Linked DNA regions of Macaca fascicularis. The protein of the gene in region 4 purifies or fractionates together with the protein of the main gene of each other region. This does not show direct contact. Links are inferred from orthologs where the notes say so. Each region holds a gene or a part of one and is shown on either strand. Other genes may lie near its edges.

Region 1 (3,500 bases), on a different chromosome or scaffold from region 4:
GCACCCCTCGCGGAGGGCGGCAATGGAGCTCACAGGGGACCCAGGTCACTGCGGAGTGGACGCTGCCGACGGCTTCCGCCAGGGAGAGCCCAGGGGCAGTCAGGGCAGTGGGGTCGGGAGGGCTCCGTGTGCTGTGTGTGCCACAGAGTGGGTCAGGCAGGGCCCCTTGGCGTCCTGCCGCAGACTGTGGGGTGGGGAACGCTCCAAAGCAGCATGCTCACCAGAAGGATCTCGATGGTCCCCAGAATATACATGGCCCCTGCGAACGTCGTGCCCAGGTAAAAGCAGAGGCCGACAGCGCCTCCGAACTCGGGTCCCAGTGAGCGCGATATCATGTAGTAGGAGCCGCCAGCTGTGGAGACACAGGCGGCGGCCGCGGGTCAGGGGCGTGCTTGGACGCAGACTTGAGGTGCGGTCTGCGCTGTCGCTCGTGAGTGAAGGAAGGCCTGTCTCTGCGAAGGCAGCGTGTTCGCCCACCGCAAAGCAGCACATGAAGACGTCCGGCTGCCACGGTAAACGCTCCCCTCCCGAGGCTCGGCACACATTCCACACCGACCGTGCCCTCGTGGACATGAGGACCAGGTGAGGTCGGGGCAGGAGGCCCCAGCACGTCCGGGAAAAAGGCCTGCGTACATCAATGGCAGCCCCAGCCCCCACTTCCACTACGTTTTGCTTATAAAAAAGGCAAAAGAGAAACCAGGATGTTCAGGAGTTCTCTGGTAGACTGTGAACCACGCATGCGATGGCTGACGGGAAAGCTGGGAGCGACCCCAGGGTTGCCTGGAGAACGCGGCTCTCCCTGCTCTGAGCAGTGCATGTGGCCATGAGGAAGGGGCCCTAACGGATGCAGTCATCGAGAAGCAGAGACTGGTCCCCTGGCTGCTGAGGGAGACCCCCAGTGAGGGCCCTCGTGCTCTCCTGCGGCCGGGGAAGTCCACTGAGCACCACGCAATGCCCCTGTGGGGGTGGGGGCCAGCTGCGTGAGGACCTGGTGCTGAGCAAGCCCGGCCGTTAACACACGCAGGACACGTGCACTAGGGAGCAGACGTGGCATCATCTCAGTTCACTAGTTATTTCGTGTTGCAATTTATTACTAATTAACAATATCATCTCGGTTCACCAGTTATTATGTATTGCAATTAATTTATTACTAATTAACATCATCTCAGTTCACTAGCTATTTACGTAATTACTAATTAACAGTATCATCTCAGCTCACTAGTTATTACGTACTATAATTAACTTAATGCTAATTATCATCTCAGTTCACTAGTTATTACGTATTGTAATTAATTTATTGCTGATGAACATCATCTCAGTTCACTAGTTATTACGTATTGTAATTAATTTATTACTAATTAACATCTCAGTTCACTAGTTATTACATATTGTAATTAATTTATTAGTAATTAACAAGGTCAGGGCAGCGTTTTGTCTTCACCTTCCCTCGTGAGATACAGGTTCCAAGAACTCAGCCTATGGCACATGCCAGGCTACAGGCATCACTGGAATCGCCCATGCCTCCCCCTCCCAAGCCCGCTGCCCGGTGGGCACTGCCTACCCTGGCAAGAGACGGTCACCATGCAGCAAAATGGGGAAGAAAACCAAACAGCCGTGACCTCACGGCTCAAACGCCAGAGGAGCCAGTGGAGAACACGCAGAAGGCCTGGCAGTGACCCCCAGGCAGCCCCTGGCCCTGCCTCGCGGAGCGGCCTCCTCCCAGTTACCAAACACACAGACTCCTCTAACAGGACTCAGGCACCCCTTACCTGGCACCACGCCGTTGGTAGCGATCGCACTCATGGAAATGGCGGTCAGCATTGTCTGCAGAAAGACAGGCGGCCATCTGAGGAGAGCTTTCCAAGAGCCTGCCGGCATCGCAACACTCCCAAGGCGCGGTCTATGGCCTGGCTCCCGCCGAAAGTCAGCCCCCGGCTCCAGGGCTCTCCATCTCAATGCAGTGGCTGGGAAACTAGGACCCGGAGGCTCCCGGGCACCAGGCATGCAGTGTCCTGGTTCCCACCCCTTTCCCTATGACAAGGACACCTGAAAGTACCCAAGGTCCTTCCAAACTGGAGGTGATGTCGTCAAAACACAGGGTGTCCCTTCCCTTGGAAGCCTCAGCCCCCTGAGGCCACCCCACAACACCCACCACCGGCCGAGATGCCTTTCCGCAGACACGGGTAAATGAGGTGCCAGCGCCAATCAACACGCCAGCGCGAACCCCGGCCAGTGTGGTGTCTCATCCCCGCAGCTGCCCCGGCTCTCGTGGAGGGGACGGCGCTGAACAACCTCTACACGGGTGTCTGGGGAGGGCCCTACTGTCCGGCTGCCCCCGCCTGAAGGCACAGCCACACTGGCCGGGGAGACTCACGCAGGTGCAGCACATGGCCACGATGAGGAAGGACTCCAGGACACCAGCCACCCCCACGATCCACGTCAGGCGCAGGAAGAGGATGACGCCCAGGATGTTCTGCAGGCACGGCAGGTAGACGCCAATGAAGGTGCCCATGCGCGGAGCCTGCGACGGAACACAGCGTGTGCCGGGGGCTCGGACCCCACACCCGAAGGCAGCCCCCTCCCCAGGCTGCACTCAGGCCCTGGGCAGGCAAAGCGGCCGTGGGGGCAGGAAGGGGCAGAAGGGGACTGGAGGGGACAGGAGTCCGTCCCGGAACAGACGGAGGCTCAGAGAGAGGCCCAGGGTGGGATCCTGACCATCCCGGGGGCGGGGGCTTAGGGGAGGGGAGCAGAACCACATGGTTGGCAGAGAACCAAGATGCAGTTGCTCTGCTGTGCCTCCCCGACGGAGGGGAACCTGTTACACTGGAAAAGTTATGGGAAAAACTAGAGGGAGAACAGGAGGGCCCCCAGCTCCATTCCCTGGATGGCTCAGGGCCTCAGACCTGACACCCGGGGAGAGCCTGAGACTTCAGGAATGGAAGCAGAGCCGGCGGAAGGAAGAAACGGCTGCTGCCCATAAAGCTAAAAAAAATAAAATTAAATTAAAAAAAATAAAATCCACAGCTCAGCATTGGCCCAGGTCACCACAATATAACAGCAAAGGTTCAGATATCCACCCTGGGGCCACCCCGCCTGCCCCAGGATGGAGCAGGCAGCCCGCTTCAGACACCTGTGCCAGAGAGGGGGACACACCCCGTGGCCCTGAAGAAACCCGCACGGGCAAGGACCAGCAGCACAGCCAGAAGCAGGTCAGTGGCTGCGAGGCAGCCCCCTAGCCCCGCTCGGGACCGGCCAGGCTGGGGCAGAAGTTTCAGCTCTGTCCCCATTGCCTGCTCAGCCCCACTCCCGCCATGAGCAGGGGCACATGGCTCGGACCTGGAGGACGGCTGGCCCCAGCACAAGGTGACGTTTTAACAGGAAAACATCTCAAGGTCAATGTAGAAAACGGGGAAGGTTTTCTTTGAAGACATTTCCTGTGAACAACGGCCACAGTGCAGATCAGAACAGGCTCCGTGAGGAGGCTGAGGAGGGGGTTCGAT
Region 2 (3,500 bases), on a different chromosome or scaffold from region 4:
GCCAATCAGAGGGGTTAAAAAGGCATTTGGGGGGCTTTTTTTCCTAGCTCTGTATTAACATATACTCATATAAACCGTACCATGGGGTCACTTTTTGGTTACCATTTCCCCTTCCCCATTTTTCATTAACCTGCCCTAATTCTCACCTTTAATATCTAACAGATACCTTTATAAAATTAACAAAACACATACAGTACTCAACACTAAATGGTCAATGGAAGAAGACAAGCAGTGTTCATTTTGTTTTAAAGTGGAAGAGACTAGAAATAAAAACAACAGTTGAAGGCAAAGTTTGACATTCTATAAATTTATAAAAGAGGATATATGGATGAAATTTGGTTAATTTCAGAAGGCACCTCAAGGCTAAAGGCTTTTTGTACTTCTTTCATCAATCAAAAAGTTAACACACTTTTATTGCTATTCAAGTAGCAAAGGAAAACTACTCTCACAAACTTCAGTTCAACAGAGAAGAATCACCATTCATTAAGATTGAGATATGGAATTGACTAAAACCGAAGTCTCCATACACATATCAATGGAGCAACTTTCCTGTGTGCTTTCAAATTAATGAAATCATGAAAGAAAAGTCACTATTCGCCATTGTGATGTTCATGTGTCATTGAAGATTTCAGTTACTACACTAGGCACTGAAGTACCATTCTGGAGGGCTGTCCACTGTATAGAACATTTACGAGTAGAAGGTAAGGACACTCTGATGATTCCCACGAACTAGGAGGATTGGTGGTAGGTCCTTAGATAGAGCTTCTAACCATGCCATGTAGAGAGCACTGGACACAGCACCTTTTCGTGCAACTGGGAGACTCCTGGTATCAAAAAGAGAAAAAGAACCTGAGCAATGCATTGACAGAATAAAATGTAGCAAAAATTATAAATTAGATTACAATAAGTTACTATAAATTACTATAATTACAGAATATTTCTGAGTGCAGGAGAATTCTGCATATAGAATAACAACCACAGTTGTGTTGCTTTGCGATAGCGACTCATTTCTTAGAACTTATTATTGTCAGGCAATTTTGCCCTCATGAAAACATCATAAGAGTACTTACACAAACCAAGACAGTATAGCCTACTACACATCTAGGCCATATGACACTTGCTCCTAGGCTACAAACCTGTGCAGTATGTTACTGTAGTGAATACCATAGGCAACTGTAACACGATGGTAAGCATTTGCATAGCTAAATATAGAAAAGATACAGTAAAAATATGGTTTTTTTGTTTTTGTTTTTAAGAGAGATGGGTCTTAATACATTGTCCAGGCTGGACTCAAAACTTCAGGTCTCAAGCAATCCTCCCACCTCAGTCTCCCAAGTAGCTGAGACTACAGGTGCACACCATCGTGCCCAGCTTAATATATGGTATTACAATCTTATGGTACCACCATCGTACACGTGTATATAAAAGACTATAATCTTTCAACAAAGATTTTTAAGAATTTGTTCATAAGAAAAGTAAATATTTCTATAAACCACAGTATCTCTGAGATATAACACTAAACCCTAGATTTCCCCTTCTTTAATAAGAATAGAATTCTTTTAGGTGAAAGGTATGTTTACTATCCAAATTTAGAAAACAGAAGCTATATATGGATAAATGCAATTTTTATCTTCTTATCTCAGTTTTAATTTCTATTTATGGATGGTGGTAGCAGTGACCAGCTGCTTTGTAAGTTTTTCTCTAAATTTCTGCGTTTTAGTGTCTTTTCCATTACAGGTATTTATCATCAGCAAAACTTGAAACTTTCTGATTTATTAAATGCTTGTTGTTAAACTAACAATCTTTTGATAGTTTTTTTCATTATTTGGCTTTTTTTGTGGGGGAGAGGCCTGAGCTTTCCTATCTAAGGACACATGTTCCAGAACTGAGAAAATGTGGGTTCAAAGAATATCTAGCTAGCCTAGTTCAGTAGAGGAAGAGCCAAAGCAGGCATTTACATCTGTATTTAACTCAAGGACAATGTGTCGGTATGTAAAATTTGTGTGTGGAAAACATAAGAATGGGAATCCAGACAGGAATCACTATTCAAGTTTAATCTGCCAAATAACATTTTTTGGGTTATTTTCAAGAGGAAGCTGTCTGGGGTCCAAATTTTAACGTAGGACCCTCCTATCCACACATACTTAATGGCTATGCTATAGTGTTTACAAAGATAAGGAATTTTGAAAAGGTGAGAAGTGTAAACAAAAGGTTCCAATTACGATAAAAAAATTACTTGGGATTCATATAAGCTTAAGGTTAGTCTTTCTCCATATGCTTAAAGCATAGTATATTTTTACAAGTTTGTTTTTTCCTCCTTACAACAACTAAGTCAATATGGGTGTTATATAGATATGTGGCTGGAACAGAAATTAATTCAAAGCATATTATCAGAAATTAGCAAGAAAATCTTTATAAAGATATTACTTACATGACAATAATATTAGCTGTGCTTGAATGTTCCTTTAATAATTCATTTAACCTGATCTGCCGGTAGGTCTGAAATGAAACAGGACAAAGTCATTCCTAGACCATTTGGAAATAAGAATTTAGCATGGTTCATAAAACTATAAGGAGACAAAAAGAAATGGAAATGAATTTTAGTGTAATAAAAATCTTTTTTTTTTTTTAAATGCTTTCTGCTAACCTCAAATAAATCTACTTTAGAGTTCATTTATACAATTGACCCCTCCTATATCAAATTTGAAGTTCTTGGTTTTCATGTCTTTTATTATATAAAAAATCAATGAAAATAAAGCAGAAGTGAAAGAATACCTTGGTCTTATAAAGTTCAAGCTCATTATCTGTTATTCGCCATGGTTCATCTTCTTTCATTTTATCTGCAATATCTTGCTCTTTATCATCTTCATGAAGTCTGTATGGCTCAATCATTTCCTCAAAAGCTATAATACTTTAAAAAACAAAGAATTCTCACAACTAATCTTATTTTAAGTTACATAACAGAAAGATCTTAAATATTAAACTATAACTTGCAAAGTTAGTGCCTCTCATTTATTATGCTCCTCTCCATACCCCAACCATAATAATCACTGTGGCAATTTATTTCAAAAACAGCAATTTCTAGTCTCTCAAACTGATGAGAAAATTAGAACCCATATGGACAATACAGATTGTGCATCCCTAATCTGAAATCCAAACTGCTTCAAAATCTAAAACTTTCTAAGCACCAATATGATGTCTAATGGAAATGCTCAGTGAAACATTTTGAATTTCTGATTTTTGGATTAGGGATTCTAAACCAGCATGTATAATGAAAATGTTTCAAAATTAAAAAAAAAAAATCTGAAATCTGAAACACTTTTGGTTGACCCCAAGCATTTGGGATAAGGAATCTCCAACCTGTAATAAAATTGCATTTTTAACTGCTAAAGCTGACCTCCCTGTATCTACCCCTCCTCCCCTTATGGCCATTTTCTCTCAACCTAAATATATTTTACCATAGTAGCCAAAATGATCCCTTTGAGCAATAAGTCAAAATT
Region 3 (3,500 bases), on a different chromosome or scaffold from region 4:
ACCAAGTATTTACTGGAAAAGCCTCCAGAAACCAAGGAGATCTCCTTTCCCACAGGGAGGGAATGAGGACTTCCTTCCTTGGCATCAACCAGTGTGGTGATGGGGCACAGAGAAGGCACTCTAGCCCCAGGGGGAGAGAGAGGTCTGAGGCCAAAGCTGAGCCTGCGCTTTAGGGAGGTAGGACAGACAGGCAGACACAGCCTCCAGTGCAAAGACTTCCTGCAGACAGCCCTTCTGCGTGTGCACTCTGCTGAACTGCAGCCTGCAGCTAGAGCCCTGCGGTAATTCAGTTCTTCTCTGCCTATGCTTATTTCCCCATGTGCCACAGCTCTGGAAGAGAAGCTGAATTATAAAGAAGGCACACAGCAAAAACTTCACTCAGACACGACCTCACTTTAATTATCTATTTGAACAAAAGAAAATGCAATAGTCTTCTAAAATGTCCCAGTCTCTAGAATAGAGATTTCTTAAGCCCAGGGACTAATTTCTTTAAATCTATTAAGTACTATATCAATATGTTCAGTCTGGCAAAAGTAGATGAAGGCTGCTATGAAGGCAGCATTGTTTGAGAATATTAAATTCCATTTCAGCAGCGCTTAACACTGAATTCCTCATAACAGCAGATAATATACAGCTGGTTCAAGAATATCAACTTTTCTTATTATGTAACTAAGCTGTTTTATCATTCAACAATTTTCAAATATTAATGAAGGGAGAACTCCAAAATAACTGAGAAAGTCAGCGATACCCAGCTTTATCAGCAAAGGATAAACAACTCATTTCAGCACATACAAATTACGAAAACAGAATGGAAACCCTCAAAAGGATAACTCTCCTCGTCTGAGTTTAGAGACTTAGGCATTCGTTCTTATGAGGTTTATTTGTAGGGGGAGGAGATGCTGCCCATGAGCCTATAACAATCTAGAAACATTTTTGTCACCAGAAAAATGCACACAGAATTTTACATAAAAAATTCAAAGGACTCACAGACACCCTGACACTTGTTAATAAACCAAAGGTTAGTAATCTGAAGGTGGAATTCTCATCCTCGAGAATGATATAGTACCTTTAATTTACACGAATTCATCTGTTCAGCATTCAACAGCCTAATTCTAAACCAGAAGGTAGAGAAAAACCTCCCTTTAACTCAGTCCAAAAGTCCCTTTTCAGAGCAACCCAATGGTTTTAGTACCAGAAGAAAACTGACATATCCTTAGGAAAATAATCTTCAACTTATTTTAAAGTTTAAAACAAAGGATTAGTGCTGTAAAATAACTGATACACATCCTCTTTCACAGACACGCACTTCCTGAACAACCTGGGGCATGACAGGGCGTCAACACTCTATTCTGAATCCACAACTGCCGAAGTGGGGCCTGAGGAGGAACGGAGCAGAATGCCTCCTACCTGCAGCAAAGGCCGAGCACATGACAAAGAACATGCCCACGGCGATCCTCTTCAGGGAGGATGGGAGCAGGCCATTTCTTCTCAAAATGGGATCCACCAGTTTGTCCTTCACAGGGATGAGCAGCAGGATGAGCACAGCATCAAACATGGTCAGCCAGGCTGCAGGGAGCTGGGGTGAAACACGGGAGGAGGCGTTTACTCCCCGCAATACACCACCCGTCTGGAGAACCAACATCTCAATGGGAGAAATGCATGTAAAGAACAGCTCCTCTCCACAAGGTACAACCTCTTCAGTTTAGAGACAACGGAACTGGGAAAAGCTTCCTTTCTAAATGAATCTGCATTTGCTTTTCTGTGCTTTGAGGGGAAAATAATCAGGTGAAAAATACTAAGTAACGCTGAACTGATGTCAGTCAACCTAATCTAGTAAATGATACAACCAACAAAAAATATTCTCTAAAATAAGTAAAAACTCTATTTCAATAACAAAGGTTTTTGTTGGTGCTGTTAACATTTATAAAACATTTACAGTTGGTAGAAGGAATCCATTTATTACATAAGCCCAAAATGACAATTTTGAGATCATTACAATTGTTCTTACCGTGTGAGGAGTGGTTGTAATATTTGAAATTTCTGGAATCCTCAAATGAAGACTCTGTAAAACATACGTTGTCTGCATCTAGGTATAAAAAACAGTATCATTATATGTGAACCAACTGTGCCCTCAAACACTCTAAGCATCCTGCCCCTCCCCTAAACTAGGCTCTGAGATGCGACAGTAGTGACTCCCAGAAACAGACAACGGCTCAAGTTTGAAAACAGACAGGTCAATGATTTGGTCACTGTAAAGTCCTCTGGAGATCAATTTTGAAAAAGAACAGCCAGTTATCCAAAGGAGAAATTACATTAACAAGAGGGGCCTGGAAAAACCAGAAGCATACCTGTTCTCAGCTTCTTTTTCAGAGAGGCTTTAAACATAGTTAAAGCAGCCAAAATGACTCCATAACTAAAACCAAAAATGCCAGGATTCTGTAGACTCATGGAAAAAAAAAATAATCTAGTCCTAACTACTTTAAACATGGCCAAAACAAGTGCTAGGCTAAGACTTCATAGGAAGATAAAGGAAATTAAACCTGTTTGTCACCACTCACTTGGAAATACACTGTCCAGTAAGGTATCAAAGCCAAGAAAACAGGGACAATCTTGACCAGAGCTTTCACATCTTCCACTTTCTCTTCTGTAAATGGCCCTCCATGAGACATCTTACATGAATCAAACAGACTTTGTTTAGAAGATTGCTGAAAGACTCCAATGCCTTCACTTTGGGAAATAAAATGAAGGAATTAGTTTTCTTCCCCTCCCAGCAATCAATTATTTGGTCACAAATTAAGTTTGGAGGTAAGAAACCAGCTCACTGTATCGAATCTGCTTCAACTCATTCCATCACTTACTAATTGCACACACCCAACACAGCTTCCTGAATTATTTCTAAATGTCACAGAATGTACTGAAACAGCTGACAAAGGGACTTTCTAGTCAAAGTGCAATTGGGCTCCTGTAACTCTAGCGTGGCTGGAAGATCTGTGATGACAGTCTGAACCATGGCTGAGCTCAGCCCCAGTGCAGCTGCCGGCTCAGCAGTCTCCGCGTGGGGAGAGTCTGCAGCTCCACCGACACTGGGAAGGACATCAGCTACGCCACTGGATAGCATATGAAAAAATGCACTGGATTGTGTGAATTTGTAATCAGCTAATTTATCAAACATCAAGACCTGACGGCCAATACCAATGCTATGAATAAAACCCTGCTGGTTTAAACTGAGTCACTGGCAGGACAGAGGCAGGGTTCTATTCTCGGAGGAAAGCTGTCAGCTCTTGGGTTAGGGAAGAGCTGAGGGGGAGGGCAGTGCCGGTGGTGATGACAGGAGGATGTCCCTGGCTCTGTCCTAGGACAGCAGGAAATGGGGAGTGCCCAGTGCACTGCGTCCCTATGTCCTCCCTCATTAACCATGTGGTGTTAAAACTCTTCAGGGCCCCACTGCACAGAGCAAGATGCCTGGGCACAGAGAGCGAGAAGGCTGCCCGAGGTATGGC
Region 4 (3,500 bases):
CTTGTGCCATCTTCTGCATAGTTCTGAAATGGTCTAATCCCACACTGGTACTTAGCTCTTTCCTCATATTTATTATATGTTTTATCATCTAACTAGACTATAAATCTGGAAAGGAAGGATCCTGTGGCTGAGATGTATCTGGATCCCCCACAGAGTTATGTTTTACATTTAGAATTCACTTGCTAAGACATATTTTAATTTGCATGAAAATTCAACCCTTAGATCACAAAATTATCTTTAGAAGGTTTTTCAAAACCAGATTACCCTGGTTCCTCTACCTGTTTGCTCAATGACCCTGGACAAATTATATCACTTCTGTATTGCCCCATTTCCCCACATGTGAAATGGGGTTATTAACAGTATCGTATAGGGTGGTAATGGGGTTAAATTAGATCATCCAGGTAGATGCATATTATTGACATGTACTCAGTAAGTGTTAATAATAACCAAAATGTTCTCCATTACTACAATTTTGGTTTATATTCATAAGCAGCTTTATCAGTGCCTTCAAAATATTCATTACCTTCTGTTTATACTAACCACACACAATAAGCTCAACATGAACACTTAATTTTTCGATTCTACCAACATATGCCCATGGCTGGCCCTTGAGAAGTGGCTGTCACAGCAGGTTTAAAGCTCAGGGTCTCCCTGAAGCCCTCTGCATGCCAAGTACATGAAAGGAGGAATGCCATCTCACCAGTGGCCCAGCAGGGGCGCCATAGGGGCCAGTGGCAGGGTAGGCTCCAGGAGCACTTGGCTGTCCAGGAGATGGGTAGGCTCCAGCGCCACTGGGTGGCCCTGGGTAGACTCCAGATGCTCCGGAATAAGCTCCAGGTGCTCCAGGGTAGGCACCTGGAGGTGCCTGTCCAGGATAAACCCCTGGGGGTGCCTGCCCGGGGTAGGCCCCAGGATAGGAGGCCCCTGGGTAGCCCCCTGCCCCAGCAGGCTGGTTCCCCCATGGGCCAGGCCATCCTTGAGGGTTTGGGTTTCCAGACCCAGATAAGGCATCATGGAGCTGTAAAGAAAGACATAAACAATTACAGGACAGAAAGCATTCTCAAAAGCAGAATTTTCAGGGAAATAGGAATATGTGATCTAAGAAGGAGAGGAATATAGCAAAGGCATTACATGCATAGCATTATACTTTTTCCACTTGTTAATAGTTTTGAGTGTCTAAGACTAAAATTAGACGTTGGGGTTACATATGCTTTTTCACTTTGTTCTTGCCTCCCAAGGTCTCAAATCAGGGAGGGCTGCATTTTCATAATTAGCCCAAGTCAGGAGCTAGCGCTCCTCTATTTACAGCACATATTTTTTAATCACTGTGAGAAAAACAATCACAAACATCAGAATGCCCAGACTGTACCGCGCTTCCCGCTACTCAGAGGATTTCTCAGCTCCTGCCAGCAGAGTCCACTCCCTTCCGCCCTGGGCCTTTTGGTGAAAGGGTTACTGTGAGTGAGTCCCAGGCCTTGCTCTGCCTGGCTTTCTTCCCAAATCTGCTGCTGGGAAAACAAGGCTCCAGCTCACAAGCCCTCGTTGGACAAATGAGTCTAGGGGAAGCCACACAGTGGGAGGGTGAAAAGGGAAAGTCATGGTAAAAACAAAACCCCCAACGCTCAACCATGTGGAGTTGATCGAGGGTAAGAAACAGGCATAAAACACTTACCGAAAAATTGTCTGCCATTTTCCTGAGAGAAAGAAAGAGACAAAGGTTATCATTTGATCCTGAAAGCTTTCACCGATTTCCATTAAATTGAACCTCACCACTAGTTCATTGTGCAGTTCTAGTCAATCTCTAGGCATTATGCCTAAGTCAGTAGTGTGGGACCACACAACATCTCCTCAAGGGGCAGGGATGCTTTCCAGCTAGATTGTGAGTTAAATATAACTCACAAGTTTAAACTTCCATCACACTAGCCTGTGCTCTGAATCCTGAGACCAAGAGGCCATACAATGCATGAGGGAGGAGGAGGCAGGGAGGAAGAAAAGGTCCTGTCCCTTTTCCAGGTGAAAAATGTAAACAGTCATGGTTTCTTTTTGGTTCTTCTTCACCTTCCTTCCTTACTCCTTATAAAGGGTTTGGTGTGTTCATCTTGCCCATCTGCCCTCTGTCCCCACTAACTGCCCCATCCCCTCCTCTGGGTTTTTGAAGATCAGCAGTGATTGATTCCTACTGAGACAGGAAAGACAATGACCTCCAGACATAGTTGCTGCCCTGTTATTTATTCCTCTATTTGCACACACTTATGCCTGCTCTTGGTCAGGCACTGCGCAGGCTCCTGTCTAGGTGCGAAGATGAATAGGCCATGATCTGCATGGTCAAAGGGGCCATGGGATCTAAAACTCAAAACGATTGAGCCCACAGAGGTATAGAGTAGAAGGATGGTTACCAGAGGCTGGGAAAGGTACTGGGGGTGGGTGAGTGGGAGGGAGGTGAGGATAGTTAATGGGTGACAAAAATAGTTATAATGAATGAATAAGGCCTGATATTTGACAGCACAACAGGGTGACTATAGTCAATAATTTCATTGTACATTTGAAAATAACTAAAAGTATACTTGGATTGTTTGTAACACAAATAAATGAGAATATGAATGCCCCATTTTCCATGATGTGATTATCATGCACTACATACCTGTGTCAAAACATCTTTATGTAGCCCATAAATATATATACCTGCTATGTACCCATAAAGATTAAGAATTTTAAAAAAAGCCAAAGGGCCCACAGTCCAGCAAGGCAGATGAGATGCATCCATGGAAATGTGAAATAACAAGTCACGAATGCTATGAGTTAGAATGTGTGCTGTAGGAATTCAAACGCAGAAAGCTTACTTCTAAGAAGGAAAGGAAAAGTGCTGTTGGAGCTAAGCCTCAAAGGGCAGCTGAAGTTTGTATGTGCTTTCTTTTTTTAAAGGTACTTGTTATTCCAAATAAAATCTTTGGCAGTACAACAAACTAAGGTGAAAAAATTCAGGCAACGTGAAAGAAAAAAATATTTGGGTGTAAGATGCTACCAAAGAGGGTTTGCCTTGCCCAAAGCTGCCACAAGGGGTGGTCTGGAGACATCAATCCTGCTTTCTCCTGTTCCTTCCCATGTCAAGGCTCCTAAAGCACAAGATGCTTCACAGCTGTTGCAGGTGCTCCAGCTGTGAGGGGAGGAGGGCAGTTGGGCCCCTGAGGCATGGGTGAGTTCTTCCTAAGCTCAGGATCACCTGTGCCATGGCCTGAATTACATAGACCTTGAAACAACCAGAATATCCTTGATTGCCTACCTGTGATATTTACTCAATCACTTTTAGAAATGACATCGCCCCAAGGGATTCAATAAATGTCCACTACTTGATTCAAATGCAAGATATTGGCTGGGCGTGGCTCATGCCTGTAATCCCCAGCACGTTGGGAGGCTAAGGTGGGCGGATTGCTTGAGCCCAAGAGTTCAAGACTAGCCTGGACAATATGTCAAAACCCTGTCTCTATGAAAAATACAAAAAT
Region 5 (2,164 bases), on a different chromosome or scaffold from region 4:
TTTTCTCTTTTCTCCTTTCCTGGGGAAGAGGTTGGCCAGACAGACCCTGGTGTGGCTGGGATGGGGGACTGCTGCACAGAGGTAATGGGCCCCTGAGATAGACATGGGACAGCCTGAAAAGGTGGGACCGAGAGGGGACACCTGTGGCCAGCAGTGTATCTCCAATAGAGCCTCACCCTGCAGGGCTCCTGCAGTCTGGCTTCAGGGTGCTTGGTACGCCCAGATGATGTTTGAGGGTCCTGACCTGGCCTCATTCTGCCGTAGCCATCAGTCCCCTGCTGTGGCTTTGGGGATCAGAACTTCCCTGCTAGGGCTCCCACTGTTGGACTCAGGGGACAGAGGCAGGCTAGCTGAAGGGGCAGTGCCCATGAGCTGGGACCTCCCAGAGCCGGCTCCTCCCTCTGCCTGGCCTCCACACCTCTACTGGTCTCCATGCCTCTGCACGAGGTGACAGGAGCTGAAATCACACATCCCAAGAGCCAAGGCAGCTGTCTGATTTGGAGACTTGCTCTGTGGCCCAGGGATCCCTGCCTCAGCCCAGCCCCACAGGGAGTGGGGAAGAGGGATCCCTGCCTCAGCCCAGCCCCACAGGGAGTGGGGAAGAAAGGGGGTAAATCAGTGGGGCTTCCCTTGTCCACAGGTTATTTAGAAAAACAGAACATAATAAATATACCAATTCTTTCCTTAAAAAAAAAAAAGTGTTTAAATGCGTTTTTCCCTGAAGATTTCCAGTGTATTCCACAATGTTTAAAAAATAGTTTCCCCAAAAATATATCTTGAAAGCATTTGACACAGTGGTATTTGTGGCGTATCTGGCGCTTGTCAGCGTGGGGCCCAGGCCTGATGAGCCACCCGCCCGACACCCGAATGCCCGCTGAAGGTGGCGCACGTGTGTGCCTGGATGTCCGGCTCTTCACAGGGGTCAGATGGTGGGTTCTGTTGAGAGCCGACACCATGGGCTCGGTTCCAGCTGAAAGCCCTCCAGTGCGGGGAAGCAGAGCCCCGGGTGGCCAAGCGGGCTGAGCAATGCCCTGGAGGCTGGACGGGGGGCTCGTCCTCAGCCCCTTCCCCTCCTCCGTCTTGGCTCTCTCCGCTTCGTCCTTACCAGACTTCGCATTTGTGAGGCGGGTTCATGGGCGAGCCAGGTGAGCAGTGGAAGTGTTCTGAGAACTCCTTGGAATTGGAGAGGGAGCCGATGACCCGGAAGCGAGAGGGGCTGTGGGGGTCGGTGATGAGGCCTTCATGGGAGCTCTCAGGTGTGCGGACGGAGCACCAGACCTTTGAAGGGACAAGAGAGAGAGGCCAGGGTCACTGTGGGGCCCTGGGGCTGCCAGACTGTCCCCATTATAACAGCAGGGGAGGCCAGGTGCAGTGGCTCACACCTGTAATCCCAGCACTCTGGAAGCCAAGGTGGGAGGGCTGCTTGAGCCCAGGAGTTCATGACCAGCTTGAGCAACATGGCAAGACCCCATCTCTACAAAAAAAAAAAAATTAACCAGGCGTGGTGGTGTGCACTACGGTCCCAGCTCCTGGGAGGCTGAGGCGGGAGGATCACTGGAGCTGGGGAAGTCAAGGCCGCAGTGAGATGAGATTGTGCAACTGCATTCCAGCCTGGGTGACCGAGTGAGATCCTGTCTCAAAAAACAAAATAAGGCTGGGTGTGGTGGCTCATGCCTATAATCCCAGCATTCTGAGAGGCCAAGGAGGGGTGAATCGTTTGAGGCCAGGAATTTGAGACCAGCCTGACAAACATGGTGAAACCCTGGCTGTGCTAGAAATACAAAAATTAGCTGGGTGTGGTGGTGCATCCTATAATCCCAGCTACACGGGAGGATGAGGCAGGAGAATCACTTGAACCCGGGAGGTTGATGTTACAGTGAGCTGAGATCATGCCATCACACTCCAGGCTGGGCAACTGAGGGAAGACTCCGGCTCCAAAAACACAAAACTCAGAAAAACAACACCAGGGGGATGAGCCCCCAAACTGATCCTGAGATCCCGGGGAGTCAGGAGGACCCCCTGAGTGGGTCAGGAAGAGAAAGTGGGCTGGTGTAGGGCTGGTGTGTGCCACTCCCCATGCCAGCAGCCTCTAACGCAGTTGTCTCCAAACTGTTCTCCTTCAGCCAGCGCAGCATCTCTGTCTGAGGCACCCGCATTCGATTCC

The links.
Region 1: the proteins of LGALS3 (region 4) and SLC12A7 purify together in Homo sapiens (affinity purification with mass spectrometry; 3 studies listed by BioGRID and IntAct, counting the BioPlex papers as one, with this or other methods). This does not show direct contact. The link is inferred for Macaca fascicularis from reciprocal best matches to the Homo sapiens genes LGALS3 and SLC12A7.
Region 2: the proteins of LGALS3 (region 4) and SLC12A2 purify together in Homo sapiens (affinity purification with mass spectrometry; 3 studies listed by BioGRID and IntAct, counting the BioPlex papers as one, with this or other methods). This does not show direct contact. The link is inferred for Macaca fascicularis from reciprocal best matches to the Homo sapiens genes LGALS3 and SLC12A2.
Region 3: the proteins of LGALS3 (region 4) and SLC15A4 purify together in Homo sapiens (affinity purification with mass spectrometry; 3 studies listed by BioGRID and IntAct, counting the BioPlex papers as one, with this or other methods). This does not show direct contact. The link is inferred for Macaca fascicularis from reciprocal best matches to the Homo sapiens genes LGALS3 and SLC15A4.
Region 5: the proteins of LGALS3 (region 4) and ECE1 purify together in Homo sapiens (affinity purification with mass spectrometry; 3 studies listed by BioGRID and IntAct, counting the BioPlex papers as one, with this or other methods). This does not show direct contact. The link is inferred for Macaca fascicularis from reciprocal best matches to the Homo sapiens genes LGALS3 and ECE1.

Annotation. Positions count from the first base shown.
Region 1 is NC_088380.1:1,436,538-1,440,037, forward strand, and holds part of SLC12A7 (solute carrier family 12 member 7), read right to left. Parts: intron 2,522-3,500; coding exon 2,375-2,521; intron 1,825-2,374; coding exon 1,770-1,824; intron 353-1,769; coding exon 222-352; intron 1-221. UniProt on the Homo sapiens protein: Mediates electroneutral potassium-chloride cotransport when activated by cell swelling. May mediate K(+) uptake into Deiters' cells in the cochlea and contribute to K(+) recycling in the inner ear.
Region 2 is NC_088380.1:134,769,182-134,772,681, reverse strand, and holds part of SLC12A2 (solute carrier family 12 member 2), read right to left. Parts: intron 2,912-3,500; coding exon 2,776-2,911; intron 2,500-2,775; coding exon 2,432-2,499; intron 825-2,431; coding exon 689-824; 3' UTR 1-688. UniProt on the Homo sapiens protein: Cation-chloride cotransporter which mediates the electroneutral transport of chloride, potassium and/or sodium ions across the membrane. Plays a vital role in the regulation of ionic balance and cell volume.
Region 3 is NC_088385.1:135,938,457-135,941,956, forward strand, and holds part of SLC15A4 (solute carrier family 15 member 4), read right to left. Parts: intron 2,728-3,500; coding exon 2,559-2,727; intron 2,087-2,558; coding exon 2,009-2,086; intron 1,577-2,008; coding exon 1,408-1,576; intron 1-1,407. UniProt on the Homo sapiens protein: Proton-coupled amino-acid transporter that mediates the transmembrane transport of L-histidine and some di- and tripeptides from inside the lysosome to the cytosol, and plays a key role in innate immune response.
Region 4 is NC_088381.1:122,996,909-123,000,408, reverse strand, and holds part of LGALS3 (galectin-3), read right to left. Parts: intron 1,695-3,500; 5' UTR 1,691-1,694; coding exon 1,673-1,690; intron 1,019-1,672; coding exon 701-1,018; intron 1-700. UniProt on the Homo sapiens protein: Galactose-specific lectin which binds IgE. May mediate with the alpha-3, beta-1 integrin the stimulation by CSPG4 of endothelial cells migration.
Region 5 is NC_088375.1:213,841,341-213,843,504, reverse strand, and holds part of ECE1 (endothelin-converting enzyme 1), read right to left. Parts: intron 1,279-2,164; coding exon 1,102-1,278; 3' UTR 1-1,101. UniProt on the Homo sapiens protein: Converts big endothelin-1 to endothelin-1.